2 linked regions of the Pelodiscus sinensis genome follow. The protein of the gene in region 1 interacts with the protein of each later gene in a biochemical or structural test. Links are inferred from orthologs where the notes say so. Each region holds a gene or a part of one and is shown on either strand. Other genes may lie near its edges. The genes, in order: CASP3 and PANX1.

The links.
Region 2: of the proteins of CASP3 (region 1) and PANX1, one has a biochemical effect on the other in vitro, tested with the Homo sapiens proteins (2 studies listed by IntAct). The link is inferred for Pelodiscus sinensis from reciprocal best matches to the Homo sapiens genes CASP3 and PANX1.

Annotation. Positions count from the first base shown.
Region 1 is NC_134715.1:76,147,933-76,157,332, forward strand, and holds the start of CASP3 (caspase-3), read right to left. Parts: upstream 4,403-9,400; 5' UTR 4,278-4,402; exon of another isoform or gene 4,274-4,277; intron 49-4,273; exon of another isoform or gene 1-48. UniProt on the Homo sapiens protein: Thiol protease that acts as a major effector caspase involved in the execution phase of apoptosis. Following cleavage and activation by initiator caspases (CASP8, CASP9 and/or CASP10), mediates execution of apoptosis by catalyzing cleavage of many proteins.
Region 2 is NC_134711.1:305,532,449-305,542,545, reverse strand, and holds the start of PANX1 (pannexin-1), read right to left. Parts: upstream 4,275-10,097; 5' UTR 3,901-4,274; coding exon 3,720-3,900; intron 1-3,719. Other genes in the region: ferroxidase HEPHL1, read right to left, coding at 9,615-9,817, 9,901-9,981. UniProt on the Homo sapiens protein: Ion channel involved in a variety of physiological functions such as blood pressure regulation, apoptotic cell clearance and oogenesis.

The sequences.
Region 1 (9,400 bases):
AAAGACCTGTAGAACTGTGTAGAACTTATTGTTGGTCAGGATGAGGCAGTTTCCTATCCAACCAGAGATGGTAAAAAGTCACTGATGAATATTACTATGTGAGAATTTAGCATCAGCAAGGAATCCAAGAGCACTCTTAAACACTCTCTTCCAAGCACTGGGCTCTACTGGTGGCAATTTATGTTGATATATAGTGATTGATAAGTAGAGTTATGTGTCTCCATGTGCCTATTCAAAGGCTTACTGAAGTTAATGGAGTTTATACAGTTGGACTCTAAGTTAATAATTTTACCAGTCACAAAAGTGAAGTTAATACAATCAGTCAATTTCCTTGATGCTACTCTAATCCATTGGGCTGTAGTAAAACTATCAAGAATTATGTCAATTTCATACTGCAACTTGAGAAGCAGCTATAATAAAATCAAGCCTGGAGGCTGATTAGAATAGTAGATAACCTCTTATCTACTACATAGAGTCTTATACTATACTTATTATCAGGGCTCGACAAATCACTGAATCTACTCGCCCATAGCGAGTAAATTTCAGCCGGCCGCCTCCATTCACCAGCAGCACGCGCATGTGCAATGCAGGTCTTGCCTGGCGAGTAGGTTTCGCCACCGTTTGTCATGCCCTGCTTATTACCATAGTATCTGAGCATCTGGTAGAGGCTCTTAGAGTGAGGAGTAGTTCAAATTTCTCAGATACCTATTGGATCACAAGGCAGAGTCCAGTGACAGCAGTCTGGCAGAAATATCATTCTCACTCTTCCTAGTAGGAGAAAGAGTGGTTCTCAAACTTTTGTACTGGTGACTCCTTCCACACACCAAGCCTCTGACTTCAACCATTCTTATAAATTAAAAACACGTTTAAAAATATTTAACACTATTATAAATGCAGGAGGCAAAGCGGGATTTGGGGGCAACACTCTGGTCACCTGAAGAAGTGGGTTGTGCCCACGAAAGCTCATGATACCATCTACATGTTTTGTTAGTCTTTAAAGTGCTACTAGACTTTGTTGCTTAAGTTTTTCCTGTTATGGACTAACTTGGCTACTCCTCTGAAGCACATTATTATTATTTGTACTATGTCAGTGACCGAGCAAATACTAACCTTTTCCTTTTAAAGTGCTAATTCCACACTCTGTTACATGTGGGCAGACCTACCTAAACAGACTGACTCTAATTTCAAGGAGGGATACATGGCTACTTGTGTGTATCAAGATAGGCTTTCCTAAACCTCCAATGCCCCACCTTCCTGCTCTGGAAAAATGAGTTGAGGTACCGTTTTTCATTAAAGATTCTAAAAAAAAAAAGTGGGTAAATGCTGCAGCCAGTTTTCTGTCCTACACTGTAATTTAGTATTACTATATGTTAGTAGAGAGAGGGGAGAGGAGCTTGTTGGCTCCAGGCTCCCTGTGGGGCTTCTACTTTTGAAACATACAAGAGCTCTGTGGGGTTTTCACTTTTGAACTGTAACAAAAGGCAGGATTCTTGCTACAGTTCAATGGCAGAGGTGCCCTTATCAACTAATCGAATAGTTGATGGAAATCCAATTGAGTAATTGATTAGTTCAGGGTGGCCAACCCCATTACAGACAAAGAGCCAAAACAGTGGTGGATACAATGGAAAGAGCAAAGGGAAAGAAGTTGCTGAGCAAAACAAACAAACAAACAAACAAAAAAAGCTGCCTCTTTACCAGCCATGTGTGACCCAAGCTTCCGTCGGCCGGAAAGTTGAGCAAAAAAACCAACAAAAAACAAAAAACCCACAAACCAACCAAACAAAAATGCTGCCTCTTTAAGAGCTGCGTGTGCAGGAACAGTAATTTTTCCTTTGAAGAACCACGGGTTGGCCACCCCTGGATTAGTTCATTAATCTAATTTTAACTTCTGTAGGCCACACAATGCATCTTCCCTTGCACTTGCTCCCAACCCCTGGCTAGACACCCTATTCCCAAGCCTGCTCCTGCACACTACCTACCATCCAGACCTCAAACCCTCACCACCTCCTGCACCTCACCTCCCACCCAGATCCTACACCCCCAATTCCTCTCACTGGCAGCTGTCCCATACACTGAACCCCTCATTTTTTGGCCCAACCCCAGAGCCTGGGGGGAGGGTCCACAAAATCCACTAACTCTGGAACCTCAAAAGAGCAAATCTGGTCTCTGGGAAGCACTGAACATTCAGTCCTCCCTGGCCCTCCCCCTTCCCCAATGGGGCTGGAGCACCAGAGGAATGAAGTATCTCAGTTGGGGGCCACATCAGTGAGGGTTGGGGGATTTTTTGAGGGTTTTTTTTTCTACTCACTTGTGTGGTCCCCAACTGATTTTTCTGTGGGCCGGTGACAATCAATACAAAAAAGGTTTCCTACCCCTGCCATAAAGTAAACATGGGAACCTTTTGTGTTGGACATAAATTAATATTTAACTTTATTTAAAATGACGTTTGGTAAACTACCATGATAAAGTTCAAGTGCTTAATCTGTTTAATAATTTAAATTAATATTTCCTTTCTTACTGGTTAAATTAAACAATTCTCCCTAGCTTCAGCACTAGCAAAATGACTTGTGTGTAATTAACGAGTTTCCATTAGCAATTGGTGATCCATGGAAAGGTTTGCATTGACCTAAGTGGGCCACAAGCCAAAAAGTTTGAAAACCACTGCTATATGTGGACAGTAAAACACCAGAAATATTAGACCTTTAGTTTAATTTATCATTACTATTTCCAAACAAAACCTTAAAGTCAATTCAATTAGTCACTTAGATTTCAACATTTTCCTACAGCACTGTGAAGGAATAGGAAAGACAGAAACGAACACTAGAAAACTGAAAACGGTTGGACTAGTCCAGTGTTTCTCAACCAGTATGAGTACCTTCAGTGGGAGAGAAGTCTGGGGGGTACATCAACACAACTGAAATTTGGAGAAAAATGAATTTTTGTTTTAAGTTTTACAGCATTTTATTATTTTTGTACTTTTTACAATCAAAAATTTAATCACCCGCCTGGCTACGATTAAGTTGTTTAAACAAATATGTTACAATTGTAGAAAAAAAGCGTGTGTCTCTGAAAACTGTAGGTACTGGGGGTACTTATATATATTTTTAAAGGGGGGTATTTTATAAAAAAAGGTTGAGAAACACTGTGGCTACGTCTAGACTGGCATGATTTTCCGCAAATGCTTTTAACGGAAAAGTTTTCCATTAAAAGCATTTGTGGAAAAGAGCGTCTAGATTGGCACGGACGCTTTTCTGCTAAAGCACTTTTTGCGGAAAAGCGTCCGTGCCAATCTAGACGTGCTTTTGCGCAAAAAAGCCCCAATCGCCATTTTCACAATCAGGGCTTTTCTGTGCAAAACTAATCTCAGCTGTCTACACTGGCCCTTTTGCACAAAAGGACTTTTGCCCAAACAGGAGCAGCATAGTATTTCCGCAAGAAGCACTGTTTTCTTATATGAGATCGTCAGTGTTCTTGCGGAAATTCAAGTGGCCAGTGTAGACAGCTGGCAAGTTGCTGGAAAAACTTGCCAGTCTAGACACAGCCTGTGACTCTAGTTGCAGATAAGAGGAAAAGGAAAGCCTCTTGCATTATATTATAAACATTATATTCTTTAATTCCTATTACATCCATATATTAACTTTTACTGTTCCTTACTCTCATCTTTGACACTGTAATGCAGTATGGGTCCGGGCTTGTCTACATTTGGAAATTTCCTGGAATTATTTCAGAACCAGCCCACATGAAATAAGCTAAACTGAAAGGAGCTCCCGGGCTAGTGCCTCGCACAGAAATAACTGACTAATTTTTTCGCGGGAGGTGACTGGCCCAAGCGCACCCCGTTAGCGCATCCTCTCGCTCTGCACAGGCACAGGACACTTCGCACCCCAGAAGCGGCCGCATTTCCGCGGCGGGGGGGGGGGCGGGGGCGGGGGGCTGGGGAAAGGCGCGCGCGAGGAGAGGGGGGGCAGATGCCTCGGGGCAGTGACCCCGGATTGTCTATTGCTCCCACGCACGGGGGCGAGGCGGCGAGGACGAGCCGAGGCCCCTTTTCTGAGCGGGCCGCGGAGTCCCGGGCTCGCTCCGAGCCCGCCCTGGGGAGCGGCGCCGCCCCTGCTCTTTGTTCGCCCCAAGGCGGCGGGGCAGGAACTGCCCGGGCCAAGCGGGGCCGCGCCGCCATGCGAGCAGCCAGGCTCCGGCAACGCGCCCGCCCCCGGCACGGGGACCCCCCCGCTCGATCGCTGCCCGCCGCCCCGCGCCCCACACGGCCGCCGACCTGCCTCCGCCGGCTGCCGCTTCCCCTCGGATCCAGACGCACGCGCGCTGCGGGCGGGTGTCGGTTGGACTCAACTGCGCGCTCAGCTCCGCCCCGGCCCCGCCCAGCTGGGGGAGGGGGCGCGGGGCGGCGGCTGTTTCAAAGGGCGGCCAGGGCGCGCTGAGCTGGCGAGCGTGTCTCTCCCCGCACCCCCAGGTGAGTCGGGCTCGCGCTGTGAAGGGGGAGCGGGGGCTGGTCGCAGGGCGAGGCGGGCAGCCCTTGTGCGGGTGGGGAGGGAAATAGGCGCCGAAATCAGAGCCGGGGTGGGGCTATGAAAGGGGGAGACAAGTGGCCAGACCGGAGCCGCGGAAGTGACCCCGCGCAGAGCGCGGGCTGTTGGGGTTGGGTTGGGGGGGGGGGGTAGAGAAAGGGAAGCCCTGCGCCGCCTCCCGCCAGCTGTGCTCTCCACGCTGCAGAGTAGGCTCTGCAGCTTTTTATTTTCAAAGTTGAATTGCTGCGCTGCCAGGGGAGGAGACTGGCTTTAGTGAAATATTTCACACCCGTCCTCTGAAGGCTCTCCAGGAGTATCAAACCTATCTTTGACGTGACATTAATTCCTTGTCAGTTTACCCAAGGGAAACACGCACAGCTTAATAGCAGCTCAGAAAATTTATTTTAGTTGGTGCTCTGATGGCCTCAGTAGTACCCTGTTCCCTGGAAACCACACTTACAGTGGACTACATCTGTTTTTGCTCTTGTGAAACTAGGATTTAGGTCAGAGGCAATGTTCCCTTCACTTTTCCCACTTGTCTACAGAATAAACTTTTTGTTATCTATACAGAGGCATGTGCAGATGAGTGCCACCAGAAGAAGCACATGCTGTCAGCTGTGGGCACTCTGCTAATTAGCTGGGTGATATTTGAATTTCTCCTGGGTGGCCACCTGAGTGCATGGCTTAGCACAGCAATGGAGACAGACTCACCTAGGCTAGTGAATGCATCGTGTGTGTAGCCCTCCTTCATCTTACTGGGCCATAAGGTTGTTACAAACACTGTCTCCTGGGTTAGGGTAGTTTTGCCAACTCCGCTTGCATACCTAGAATTTGCAGCAGGTACTGTTTGAATCACAGCAGCACTTTGAATGCAGATGGACCACACTGTTTTTACGGTCAATGTTGAGTGAAATGAGCACACACCTCACTTCCTGTGTCACATTAGTAATACCGGTAGGAAAAAACACTGTGAATGGAAGCTAGCAGCATCTAGCAATCCTCTGCATGAACGGTGGTAAACAAAATGTCTTGTAGGCTACCCATATAACCTCAATTTATCACATCTGTGCTGGAGGTTGCCCACCAGTGGCTTAGAGGGAACAGTGGTCTGGGTATATAGCAAACAGAAGGTACCTACATCTGGGCTACGTCTAGACTGGCATGATTTTCCGCAAATGCTTTTAACGGAAAAGTTTTTCCATTAAAAGCATTTGCGGAAAAGAGCATCTAAATTGGCACGGACGCTTTTCCGCAAAAGCACTTTCTGTGGAAAAGCGTCCGTGCCAATCTAGACACGGTTTTGCGCAAGAAAGCCCCGATCGCCATTTTTGCCAACGGGGCTTTTTTGCGCAAAACAGTTTTTAGCTGTCTACACTGGCCCTCATGCACAAAAACATTTCCGGAAAAGGGCTTTTGCCTGAACGGGAACGTCAAAGCATTTGCGCAAGAAGCACTGATTTCAGACAGTAGAACGTCAGTGTTTTTGCGCAAAATCAAGAAGCCAGTGTAGCCAACTGGCAAGCTTTTGCGCAAAAGTGGCTGCTTTTGTGGAAAAACTTGCCAGTCTAGACGCAGCCTTGGTGTAAAATTAAAAACTAAGCCTATTCCATACTAACCACCCTGACTTGAAAATGTCACCGCCTCTTTTCCCTTCCTTGTGAGTTTCTTGAGACATGACCTTCACCATTCCTCACTAAGTTCTGGAGGTTACTGTATTCTATGCCAGCAGCCTGCTAATAGCCCCCATACACAAGGTTCTCTTCTTGCTATCTTTATTGACAGCCTATAGAATTTGGTAATCAAAGCATGATTGATCTCTAAATGTACACATGTATCTCTCTCTTCATATATCAGTGACAACTCTGCCAATATGTGCCTACTTAATCCTTCAATCATTTAATACAGTGACATTGAACCCAGTTAATGGCAGTTGTATGGCAAGTTGATAAATACTGGAATTCAAATCTGAGACTCCATGTAAACAATGGCACGGTCTTGTAAACCTGCCTCGTGTTTTCTTACAAATGCAGCTATGCTACTGCACCGTTTCTAGTAGCTATTGTGAGTACTGGAGGATAAACTGCCATCTAAAGGTCTAGAGGAGGCAGAAAGGTAAGTGGGATATCTGACAGGGATCTCTACCTCTGTTAAAGTTACTACTGAGGACAAGAACGGAGAAAGAGGGGAAAGGGTAGAAAAATTGTGACAGTCATCTAACAGAACTTGCTATCCTTATTTCCTGGCCAGTAATCAAATACTGATAGGTACCCTGACAATCAAATGGACAAGGATGATGAGTGAGGCTTCAATTTATTTGAAGAGGTCATGGCAGTCCAAGTAAAGCCACAGCATCTTTATTTGTATAAATTATAGGGCTACAGGAAGTGGAGATGGGATTGTGTGCCCCTGCCCTGCAGCTAGGGCTGGCTGGAACCAGGACCCTGCAGCCCAACTTGTGGCTCTAATTGGGGACTGCAGCTTGGGCCATGTCCTTCAGTCTGGCATTTGTCAAGGGCTGCACTAGGAAAATGGGGGTAGTATGCACCTGTGGCAGCCCACTAATTTTTACCTCTCTCCCCCCTCCACGTGTTCCTAGCTGTGGCTGAGGTTTGGGGAGGGGGACGACTGCTACCTGGGCTACTCATCCATGTCCTGCAGCTGCTGGAGTCGGGGCTAAATCTTTAAATATATGGTGCTTGAGTGAAATGAGGCTCATGGCAGGGTTCTCGGCCTGTCAGTCCCCCTTTTCTCCCCTGGGACTCCATTCCTCCCCCTTACCTAGCCCTGCCCCCAGATTATTTTTGAGTGTCACAGCTCTCTGAATTTTTGTATTTTGCTTGTCACTTTTAGTAAAATTAACAATGATAAAATCTTAGCCTTAGTGATGGTTAGCAAATTCTGACAGACCATGTGGTATGTCATTGTGTTACCAGTAGCAAATTCTGACAGGATCTAACTTTACAACACTATCATGGTACAAACTTAAAAAACAACAAACAGTCTAGTAGCACTTTAAAGACTAACAAAACATGTAGATGGTATCATGAGCTTTCGTGGGCACAGCCCACTTCTTCAGATGACTGGCGTGTTGGATATCCAGAACCAACGTCATAGTACAGTTAGTCTTCCCCTTCTGCTTCACACAGTGGACCAGTCACTCCTATCACAATCCACTGCATTAATCAGTTCTTCTGGGAGCTATGAGAATTTCCCTGGTGGCAGTGTGTTTCTTTCTTTACCATAAAATGCAAGTGTAAGGCTTTGTCTATGCTACACAGCCTTCAGTGGCATAGCTCTGTCACTAAAAGTCAGGCAGTATAGTCACTGATTGTTGGCACTTTTGCTGACAAGGTACCCCCAATGAGCAGTGTTCACATTGTTGACAGAAGAGTTCTCCTGCTGATACTGTTCACACTGACGCTTGCTGCAGCAAAACTTTTGTCTTTTGGGAGGGGGAGGAGAGGTTAGGACCACTGAATGACAAAAGTTTTGGTGCTCAATTGTCAGTACAGCTGGTCCCCCAACTTACCAACAAGTTACAGACCAAACACTTGGTCATAAGGTGAAGTGTTCATAAGTTGGACCCCATTCATTTACATGCAACCGTGCTGTTCGAAACTTGGGGACCGCCTTTATGACTGCTTAATGGGAGGTTTGGTCGTAAGTACAAACGGTCGTAAATCGACCATTTGTAACACGGGAACAGGCTGTAAAGACATAGGTTAAGACATGGGGATAAATCTAAGTGAAATAGGATTGATGAGCTGGATGTAGTGAGCTCTAATGTGGCATTCACCCATAGTCCAGTACTAATATTTTAAACACATGATTCTCCAGTGTAATGAGGTTCAGGGATATGTTGCTGAGAACTCTTTTCAGTAACAGATCAATGTTCTATTCTATAGGTCTCTTTAGCATCAGCCTCTTTGGTTATATCTGTGCTAATAAATCCCTCTAGGGCTGTTGCTACACTTCAAAGGTGAAAGTGCTGTATGGAGTTCAGGGTCAGCTGGGGACTCCCACACACTTTGAAATGCCACATGCAGCCTGGGGCCACCCTAGCTGGCCCCAGGCTTCATGCAGCATTTCAAAGGGGCAGTGCTGTGTGGAGCCCAGGTTCTGGCCCTAGGCTTCAAACAGCGCTGCTACTTTTAAGCACCCTCTGCTCTTCTCCCACTCCCTTTCTGTCAACTGTGGACAATAGGAGCTGCAAGTGACTGAACATGTGGATGTGTGAGTAAAAAAAAAACATCTGGCAATCCTCCAGAGGCTAACCCTGGTGAACCTCATCTGTCCTGTGGATTACTTATTATCCACCTCTGATCTAGTAGGTAGAAAGGATGTGAATGCTTAACCAGTAAGCCTTGCCTTTATTGGATGAAACTTATAGTTCTGGTTAACTGGTGAAGGCAGTAGTAGCTCCCTGCCTTCCACAGCAAGGGGTGTTCCAATTGTCCAGAGCAGTCCCTGTCTACAGGGGTTGTTTTAGCAGGCTGGAGCAGCCCTGGACTGGAGTGGGCCCCTTACCTGCCCTTTAATCAGTTAACCAATTAAATGGGATTTTACATCCCCCTAGTAGGTAGTGTCCTCCTGAAGTGGTACAGTGGTGTAGCTGTTCCATCACAGCATCTTAAGCGCAGACGAGCCCTTAATTATAGTTTGCCTCAACTTCCCATTAATTGATCAGGAGGCCTGACTTTAAAAAAAGTTCCAAAATTTCATAGATCCAAAAGATCAAGTTACCAAACTACTTTGTATTTTGTGGCTTTAAAAATATGAATTCTCTACTACTACATTTTAATTCCTAGAATTTTTCCTTCCTTACTTTTGGAAACTGTGCTCCCCCAGATTTCTCTTTTGCGCAAGGCAAAAATTTG
Region 2 (10,097 bases), on another chromosome or scaffold:
ATCTCTCATCTGTATTAGGAGTTGTACTTGTGGTGACACAGAACTGGTGCCACAGATGGATCCACTGAAAATGGGTTTGACCCCAGGAAACCCTTCCTCTTCTTCTGCACTGGCAACAGAGACTGATACTGAAGGCTGGAGTGTCCCTGACATGCTCCATGTCAGGGCCAAGGCTCTTTAAGTGACTTTTTTCAGCACATGGTTCCTTGAAGAGGGCATTGGCACACTATGCACCAAAGATGTGCCTTATGGACTCTGAGGTGGGAGAGCTGTCTCCATCAGGAGGCTCGTTAGCTGCTGTTCCTTTTCTTTTAGAGCACTTGGTCAGAATTTCCAACAGATTTTCAAGTGGTCTTTTTGATGACCTTTGCCCAGACACTGTAAATGGTATGTGTAAGGGTCACTCTTTGGCATGTGCTTTGCTCAGTCCTTGCAGATCTTGAAACCCAGAGATCACAGTATGCCCTGGGAACAGCAAGGAAGAAGAGGAGGGGGGGAAGTCTTCAAAATAGAAATGTATAACTAATCAACTATGAACTACTATACTAACTGAGAAAACAGAAGAAGTCAAACTGCTAAGTCTCTTGCCAGAGCAAGACAGAGGGAAGTTCCAGCTATTATATCACTGACAGTAAGAAGGAACTGAAAGGGCAACAGGTCAGCACGGCGCCATGAAAACCAATCCTATGGCTCTCGTAGGGAAAAACGTTCCAGCTTCTGTGCACTAGGGGTGTTAAATTTAGATTAAATAATTGAATAGTTGTGACGTAGTGGGGGTGCCTTGTTCGTTGCTATGCTGGGCAGGGGGCGACCTCTGCTGTCCGAACCACGACCCAGCAGGGCAGGAGGTGAGTCATTATGCAAAGGGGGCTCCAAACCTGTCTGACCAGCTACCCCCCATGGGGAGAAACAAGGGAAGGTGGAATGCTGCCCCTGGCTGGGGGGGCAGGGCTGGAAGACAGTTAGTTTTCTGTCTGGGATCATGGAGGAGACAGCCTAGGGAAGGGGGCTGGAATTTAGGGGCCCACTATCCCCCATCTCAAGGGGGGCTGAGGCATCCTAGGCCTGCCCTGTAACCAAATTACATCTGTGCTGTATCCTGGAGAAGCAATAAACTCCCTCTATTCTACTGGCTGGTGGAGTCCGTTCGTGCCATTACGGGGGTGCAGAAGTCGGGGGTACCCCAACGCGTCGTCACAATAGTCAATGGAAATCCCATTGACTATTCGATTAGTTTATAAGGGCGCCTTGCTACAGTTCAAAAGTGGAAGCCCCACAGGGAGTGCGGAGCCAACAGGGGACTAACCAGGTACTCCCTGCCATGCCTAAACTTTCGAAATGTACAAGAGCCCCAGTGGAATTCTTGTACATTTCAAAAGCAGAATTGCAGCAGAAGAGGCGCAAGTGGAGACTGCTTCATTCCCCGCTTGTGCTGTTTCCCACTGTGCCTCTACCTCCGCTGCCCACTGGAGAGACAGTGCTGGGGGAGCCGGCTCTCCTCAACACTGGCTCCTGCTCCCTTCCCCTTCCACTGTCTCTGATAGTTGCTACTAGTCACTTACATCCTTACTGTGCATGTGGGCAAGCACACATCTGATTGGAATTGACATGAATGATCCCTTGAAGAAAAATTTAATGATAGCGAGACCCATAGATACCACAGTAATGAAGGTCAAGAAAATACCCATGACAGTTTACTGAAATCCAACTGAAAGCATTAATAAAGCTGTAAATCAAATTTACATTATTTTTTCAAGTGTGACCACAATGAGATATTAGTGGTTAAATGAAGTTGAAAGTGAAAGAGCAGATAGCAACTTATCTAGATTGTCACCTACTGTCTCCAATACGGACACATATCCAAGTATCTGAGATAAATACAAATATTATATAATCACTCTTTTTTAGCTGTGTAATAAAGCTTTGTTTTATAAGCCTCTGCCAGTGTATAAATTATGGGCCATCTTTACGTGTCATTAAATGCATGAAATTCCAACAGAATTCAATGAGAATTTTGTAACATATTGCATGTACCTGATTCATAGATTGGAAGGCCAGCAACTAGATTGAGCTTTTTAAGTCTATCATTATAAGATATGTTTCCTAATTATTTAAAATTTTGTGTGGATCTTCTCTGATCACTCTCCAGTTTATCAATAACCTTCCTGAAGTGTGGACAGCTGACCTGAGTATTGTATTCCAGCAGTGCTAGTACCAGTGCCAAACAGAGAGGTACAGGTTGGACCTCCAAAAACTGGGACCAGGAAATTCCCGGCTGGGATTCCTGTGGCAGGAAGGCCGGCAGCTGGGAGCCCTGTTAGGCTGGGAGACCAGGGATGGGAGTGGCTTGCAGCAGCAGGGCTGGGACCTGACCATCCTGGCAGTGAAATCACCCCAGTAGCCAAAGTTGAGGACTGCTCCAGTGGCTAGGGCCTGCCCTAATGTCCAGGGCTGCAGCAGTTCTGGTAATGGAGCTTGGCAAGAGAGCTGGGTCACTGCAACTCAGCAGGGACAATGGCTGGGACAGCAGGGAGGGTTAGTGGGCTGAGGGGCTGATAAGAGGAAACCTTCCCTGCTCTGGCAAATTCCCTCATTCGGGACGGTCAGGTCCCAAGGGTGCCAGACTAGAGAGGTCCAACCTGTATAATAATCTCTCTGCTTCTAATTGAGATACCCCCTATATATTTATCCCAGAATTGCAACACTGTACCTCTTCTGACCATACTGGGACCTGATTATCTACCACAATGATTTTGTCATTTTTTTAGAGCAAAAATGTATCAGTCTAGGACATAGGTTCCCAAACTGGGGGGCATGAAGAAATTCCAGGGGTAGCGCCAGGTGACCTAGTCTCACACACCCTCGTCAATCCCACTCCAAATTTTGATGTTATTTTTTTGGAGGGGGGGAGGGCGCGAGGGTTTCTCAAAAATCAAAAAGGGGGCATAATGCCGAAAAGTTTGGGAACCACTGGTCTGGAAGTGGAACACTGAATATTGTAAAGACACAATGCGAAGGCTGATAAGTCACACACAAAAGAAGACTCAGTTCCTTAAAAAAAAAAAGACATTTCTATCAGCTTTTCTTAAGCCCTAAGCGCAGTTCATCTGTAACCAGCCACTCTATTCACAGCAAAGCAGAACTATAATTTTAATTATTCAGATACATTCCTCTCCCATGCGCCCTGATCAGTCTGACAGCTCTGTCCCATTTAGCCTGCAATCTGTAATACAGAATCTGCTCCGGTCTCTACATAGATGTGCTATCTAGTTTTCTCTTCCTCTTCTTCCCTTAGGGAGGATATTTTAATTGGATGCAGCACGTTTACTCGAACCATCTCTCTGCTCGCCTGCATGTTAAAATTCAAGTCAATGTGATGCAATGTGTATGAATTCAACCCGGTTCTGAACGGTGACTGGTTCCGCATCGCCAGCGGGGCAGGAAAGCCAACTGGCTGCACAGCATCATTTCCTAAAGCCCACTCGCGGCTCCTAGCCCCACTCTTGTCCGGCCCGGGGCCAGGTCAGATTCTCTGCTGACCCGTGTGACGCTCCCCTGCGCGCCGATGCAGCCCGACCTGCGGCAGGCAGGGAGCAGGGCGAGGCTCGGGGCTGCACCCCGGCGCGCTAGGACCAGACACCGAGAGCTGTCAGAGCGCCCCCAGGGGCAGGGGCCGAGCCCGGCTGGAGCCCGCAGGCGAGGCGGGGCGGGGCGGGTACCTGTGGAGATCTCCTGCGCGAAGGCCAGCGAGATGAGCAGCAGCGGCAGCCCCACGGCCGCGCAGGTGACCAGCTTGTCCAGCGCCAGCTCCAGCCGCAGCCCCTTGTACTTGGGCTCGGCGGGCTCCTTCAGCAGGAAGTCGGAGAAGACGTACTCGGTGGCGATGTGGGCGATGGCCATGGCGGGCCGGGGGCGCCCTCAGCACCCCGCGGCCGGGCCTAGGCGCGCCGGCCTCCTTCCCTTTCGCTTCCTGCTCGCGCCTCCCGCCCTTTGTCCGGCTCGCGTCGCCCTCACCTCGCCCAGGCGCCTCCTCCCGCCCCGGGGCCTCGGGCCAGCAACGGCCTCGCGGCGTTCGCTACTCGGGCTGTAGTGAGCATGCGCGCGGCAACGGGCGGGCTGCTGCCCTCGCTCTGCCCGGGCGTGCGGTCAGAGCGCCTGGTTGTGCCCGCAGAGCATGGGGAGGGGCTGGCAGGATTGGGCCCACGCGGGAGTGTCCGATCCATGTCTCACCACAGCCCCGCGGGCCCTCCCTCAGGCAAGAACTGGGGTGAGATGAGGTGCCCCCGGTCCCATTTCTCCTCCCGAGCTACCTTGTGGAGCTGCCGCGTTGTGGTTTGGGGGAGCAGGGTCTCTGCGTGGCACATCCACTGGAGAACAGTTGTGCATGCAGAAAGGAACGGTACCAGCGGCCAAAGAGCCTGGGCCTCCAGCCGCGATGGTTTTAAACCAGCGTCGCGCCTGATTTCAGCGGCGTTACGCCTGGCTTGCCGCAGGGCGAGCAGAGAAACAAGCCAAAGCTCTCGCGGGGAGATTAGAAGTCTGTGGGCAGGTTAATCCTTTGCATATAAATTGTGGCAGCCCCCACTGAATTTAAGCCAAAGCACTGGAGTTACATCAGAGATTATTCCAGTACTTACTTTTTGCCAAGGCTGTGCCCTAGCACCTTTAGGCTTGGCAGTTCATAGCCCTTGTACCTCTGGGCTTGCTGCGTCAGTTATAAATGTAAACATTGCTTGAGCCCCAGCACCTCTTTCATTACAAATTAAGCCCTGGTTTACTCCCAGTGCTTCTTACAAGTTGCAACATGTATTATTATGGCTAGCTGGCTGCTCTGCAGCCTGTAATACTCCATATAGAAAGTGTGTGCAATGGCAACTGTCTGATTGAATGCTAATGGCTTATTTCTACAGGGAGAGACAAGAAAATCTCTGTCTAAACCATCTGGTCTCTGAAAGGTTCACTTTCTGTGGGAATTTTTGTTTTGGATTGAGTCTAGTGACCTCCATTCCCTTCTGTTTATGGGATAAACTGCGGCTTTCTCCACCACCAGAAAGCCCAGAACCAGTGGAACCAGATTGATGTGTTACTGGTTCATTGATTTTTAAAGGGGTAACCTACTTTCATGATTAAATTAATGATGAAAATGATGAGTATTTCAAATGCTCTGTCATGCAGAATCCTCATTCACTTCAGCTGAAATTCCATATATGATTCTAACAAGACAGTTAACCTACCTTTTTTGTCTGTTGGATTTTAGCATCTAGTAGAAGGCATGGATGATGTCTGCCTCAGTGCCCCTGCTTTTGTTTGTAAATATTCTCCAGTTCAACTGTACATGATTTGATCAGAAGGGCTTCTTTCTAGCAAGATTAGTCTACAGTCTGTCAAGACCTTAGCATAGACATTTTCCTGATGTTCAGACTAAAATGGAAATATGCTGTCCTGGAAAGCTTATTTGGGATTTGCACCTGAAGTAAGAATATTATCCTATTTCACAAAGCTCCTCTAGAAAATGGGAGCAGTCAGTCCCATATTGTTAGATGCAGTACACATGTAATAAAATACAGATTCTGCTACAAAAAGTTTATACTCTGAGCATCTGGTAAGATAAAACAACTAAACAGAGAGGAAGGTTGGGAAGTACAAAGTAACAATGTCTCCCCCCACTCTCCCTAAAGGGCACTTCAGAAGTGGGAGGATTGGAGCTGGAGCAGTCCCAGATAAGGAGTGGAAGGGGGCTCCCGAAGCCAGCCCCTTTAACCTGCCTGGTGACTTTTTTTGTATGGTTTTCTGAGAAGCAATCCCATTCCAGGCACATCCCATTTTCTTGGCACAACCAAACCCCCACCTTGCTTTATGTTCTAGTAAGAGGAATCTGTATACCAAATTTGGTGGTCAAACTCTTTCAAATATATAGCAGATTGTTCTTATAAGCAGAAAGTTTATTTTATAAATAATTACTGCTTAATATGGGAGTGGTATGAAATAATTTTGTCAATATCACTTTTCACAGCAGTGAATTATAAATTACTTTCTTTTTGCTGATCTCAGTGTTCTGATTGGTCTGTGGTTTAATTCGCTCTTCAGCTGCTGAACAATCAAGCCCTCTAATGTTGTCTCAGTTCCACCTGTTTAGTCTCAAGACTACAAACCTGCAAGCACAATACTACAATCCTAAAAGTCCCATCTCCTTAAAGTAGTGATAATACAACAATATATTTTATTTAGGAATGATTGCTGCATTATACATTTACAGTACTTTTTAAAGTAAATACACTACATTGCCGAGGAAAGGTAGTGTAACTTTCTAAAACAGTAGATTTAAGTTATATATTCTATAGCAACTGCTCTCTTTTTTGAGCATGTATTCACAATCCACATGTAATAATAAACATGTAACTCTTTGAGAATCACTGCATTAAATCTTATTTAAATGTTTTATGATTCAGTTATAAACATCAAACACATATGGAAATACTTAAACAATATTGCTTTATTTATGTTGCATCATGGGTGAAAGCTGTAACTCTCTTTGTATATGGTATGCAAGCATTCTGGACAGTATTTAACAAAGAACAGCAGACCTCAATGCTAGTGGGTTACATGTTGGAAAGAAACTAGTCTTTAGAATGTCTGTGGTTCCCCCGAATGGTATTACGCTTAGCCAGTATAAAGGAAGCTTTAAAAGTAATGATTGAAGGAGTGCTTGTGGTACAATGTAATTGCTACCCTAATTTTGAGCCCAGTCCTGTCACTCTAGCTCACACAAGTTGATGTTCTCAAAGAATATTTTAAATGAGTAAAGGTTGCAAGATCAGGCCTTTTATCTAGAATTTTTGTTTGCTTTTTTAAAAACTGGAAGGAAACAAAAGGACCAAAGAAACAACAAGAAACAGCTGCACCTCAAGGATTTTGTTTTAACACCTTTTATCTGTTGGGCTACGTCTACACTGGCCCCTCTTCCGGAAGGGGCATGTAAATTTCACGAGTCGTCGTAGGGAAATCCGCGGGGGATTTAAATATCCCCCGCGGCATTTAAATAAAAATGTCCGCCGCTTTTTTCCGGCTTTTAAAAAAGCCGGAAAAGAGCGTCTAGACTGGCCCCGATCCTCCGGAAAAAGTGCCCTTTTCCGGAGGCTCTTATTCCTACTTCAAAGTACTTTGAAGTAGGAATAAGAGCCTCCGGAAAAGGGCACTTTTTCCGGAGGATCGGGGCCAGTCTAGACGCTCTTTTCCGGCTTTTTTAAAAGCCGGAAAAAAGCGGCGGACATTTTTATTTAAATGCCGCGGGGGATATTTAAATCCCCCGCGGATTTCCCTACGACGACTCGTGAAATTTACATGCCCCTTCCGGAAGAGGGGCCAGTGTAGACGTAGCCTTGGTGATTTGGGCATTAATCCAGAACACCACTAACCTACATTCAAAGTGATTGTCAGTAAAGTTCCCTACAAGGATGCAGCATATTTTTAAATACAGAAGAGAAAAAAAATGACATTGTGCACCAACTTGAATTTACATTGTAAAAAAAACTCAGATAAACTATTCATAACTGAAAGGTTGCTTTAGTTCTGTAGTTCATCCACCAATGTTGTAGGTGACATGAACATCTGTGTGGCAGGAATAAACAATAGCTCATTCAGAAATGAGCTGTAAACATTCAAGTATCACCAGGGCATTGCACAGAGAGCACAAAGGGGCATGCGCATTCCTAAAGCCATGGGCAGGAGTTGCAAGGGGTCAGCAAGCAGCCACCGGGGACAGATTCCTTGGGTGTCCAAGAATATGAGAAGGGGGGGGAGGCTCACATCAGTAGCAGGGGTCTTCCCCTCCCCCCCCACACTCACCACCAGCAGTGGCGATGAAAGTGGAAAAATGCAGCCGCAGCTTTCACTGCTCCGCTGGCTGTGTTTCTTGGGGGAGAGGTGGGACTGTCTCTGCACTCGCTGGCAGGAAATGGAGTGATGCGGCCTGGGGAGCACAACGAGCTGGGGCCACATTAGTCCACTTCCCCAGCCTCTGCCAGTGAGTGAGGGGGGACCCCCCCATAGTATCTCAGGCTGCATAGAGGCAGGGCAGGTATGAGAAGCAGGCAGAGCAGGCGCAGGGAAAGGTGGGGCTTGGGATGGAAGTGAGGTTGTCCCAGGTTGTCACATGGTCTGAGGGGCCGGTCATGTGGATGGTGGCTCTCCAGGTCCTCCCTCACCAGTCACCCATGGGTATCATTATATATTAGACCTGCCTTATTCTATCACTCTTACATTAAGTACTTGACTTCCTGAATAGTCTCATTGAAAAATCAGGGATTAAGCTACTACAAGTGTAAGTAAGCATCACAGAATCAAGCCCACAATAAGCAATAGTTACAAAACCAGACTACTTTCTTTTTAGTAACCCAAGGCCACCAACCCCAAAACACAGCAATCTTACTTAATGGGAAAAGAAAAAGCCCTCTTAACCTTTGATAGGTTCAGTGGGCCAGATTCTGTTTTTGTCATTAGGGGGTAGCTGCAATGACTCAAATGTTCTAGATTTGAACAAGCACTTTCAAAATCTGGCACACTGAAAATAGCTTAATATAGCATTACCCAATGGAGATCCCATTACATAACTATTGTATCACAGGGATTATGGGCCAAATTTTGCCTTCATAAACACCCATGCAAACATTGCACTCACTGGAAACACTAAGATGATGTACTGAACTCGAGGGCATAATTTGGTCCTGTGTATTACTTTTTAAGCACAAGATTCTGTTAAAATCTCTTTAAAGCCAATATGTTTGTATACTTATTTGAAAGTGATTCACCATTAGAGCTGTGTGAAACAGAAACCACACAAAACTCTTGTTACTTGTTTTGGGTTCATTAAGAATCAGGGTCATGACCTGATCCAAAGTCACTGAAGCCAATAAGAGTTTTTACATTGCCTTCAACGATCAGGTCCCACTTCCTGTTCATATTAACTCCAGGGGAAGCCTTGTGAGCCCTAGAAAGTTAATCCATCTGGGTCAACATGTTCACTGAGGCTTGTCAATCTTTTGAGGGAATCTACGGCCAATACGAGTTTGCATAAAAAGAAAAGCCTGGGCTTTGTTGTAAGTTTGATCAGGTTTCTCAATATGTTTTACTGTTTATTTGAACAAGAATCACCATCATAATTAAACATGAACTGAAACAGGAGAACAGGCTTGCACAATCCCCTGCTAAGTTTCACATGGCTCCAGTCACAATCCAAGTCAAATTCAAAATAATATTGATTGACTATATTTTACAGCATCAAAAGAATCAGAAGCCTAATACATTTTTTCATATGTCAGAGTCAAATCTTGCTTGCCTAACTCAAGTGAGCAGTCACATTGGCATCAGTGGGACCATTTGAATAGACGTCTGAGATGGCTCCCATTGAATTCAACTCACACTGACTTCCATAGAGTAGAATCAGCCTGCACAGACAAGCAGGATATGGTCACCAGGGCTTAAACATGCAGCCCATGTCATACGTGGCTTCATGGCTGCAGGATTGGGCTCTCACAAACATGTATCTTGCCTTATTTATACCAACAATATACAATGAAATCCAACACAGCTCTATAAATGGTCCTCAAAATACAGATTTATAGGGAATCGGTTGGGAGTGCACACTTAGGTTGCACAGTCCTGTAATATACCCTTTTTCTCTGGAAAGTGATGAGGATGATGAAGATTAATATTGCGATCAGAAGGACAAGGCCAATGGAAAAAAGTGCTATGAGCACTGAGTTTGCTTCTCTTGCACCCAGAGTTTTGCCTAAGAAGTTGATTCCTTTTTGATCACCATCTGCCAAAAGAAAAAGTACCATGTAAGTAATCCATACATCCACCTGCTGAAGTTTATATTATTTAAATAAAAGAGATCCATACCCTTTACAGGAGCCTTGTGTTTTACAGTAATTGTGTCATATGCTGTAGCGGTTACTCCTCCTTTTAAAGGAACTGTGTTGTCTGTGTAAAACAATTAAAGCTTACTTAGGCTGAAAACTGTACAAAGAAGCAGATTTCATAATCTGAGAAAACAGTGAATACATCAATTATTCTACCTGGGTAATGTGCAGAGATTG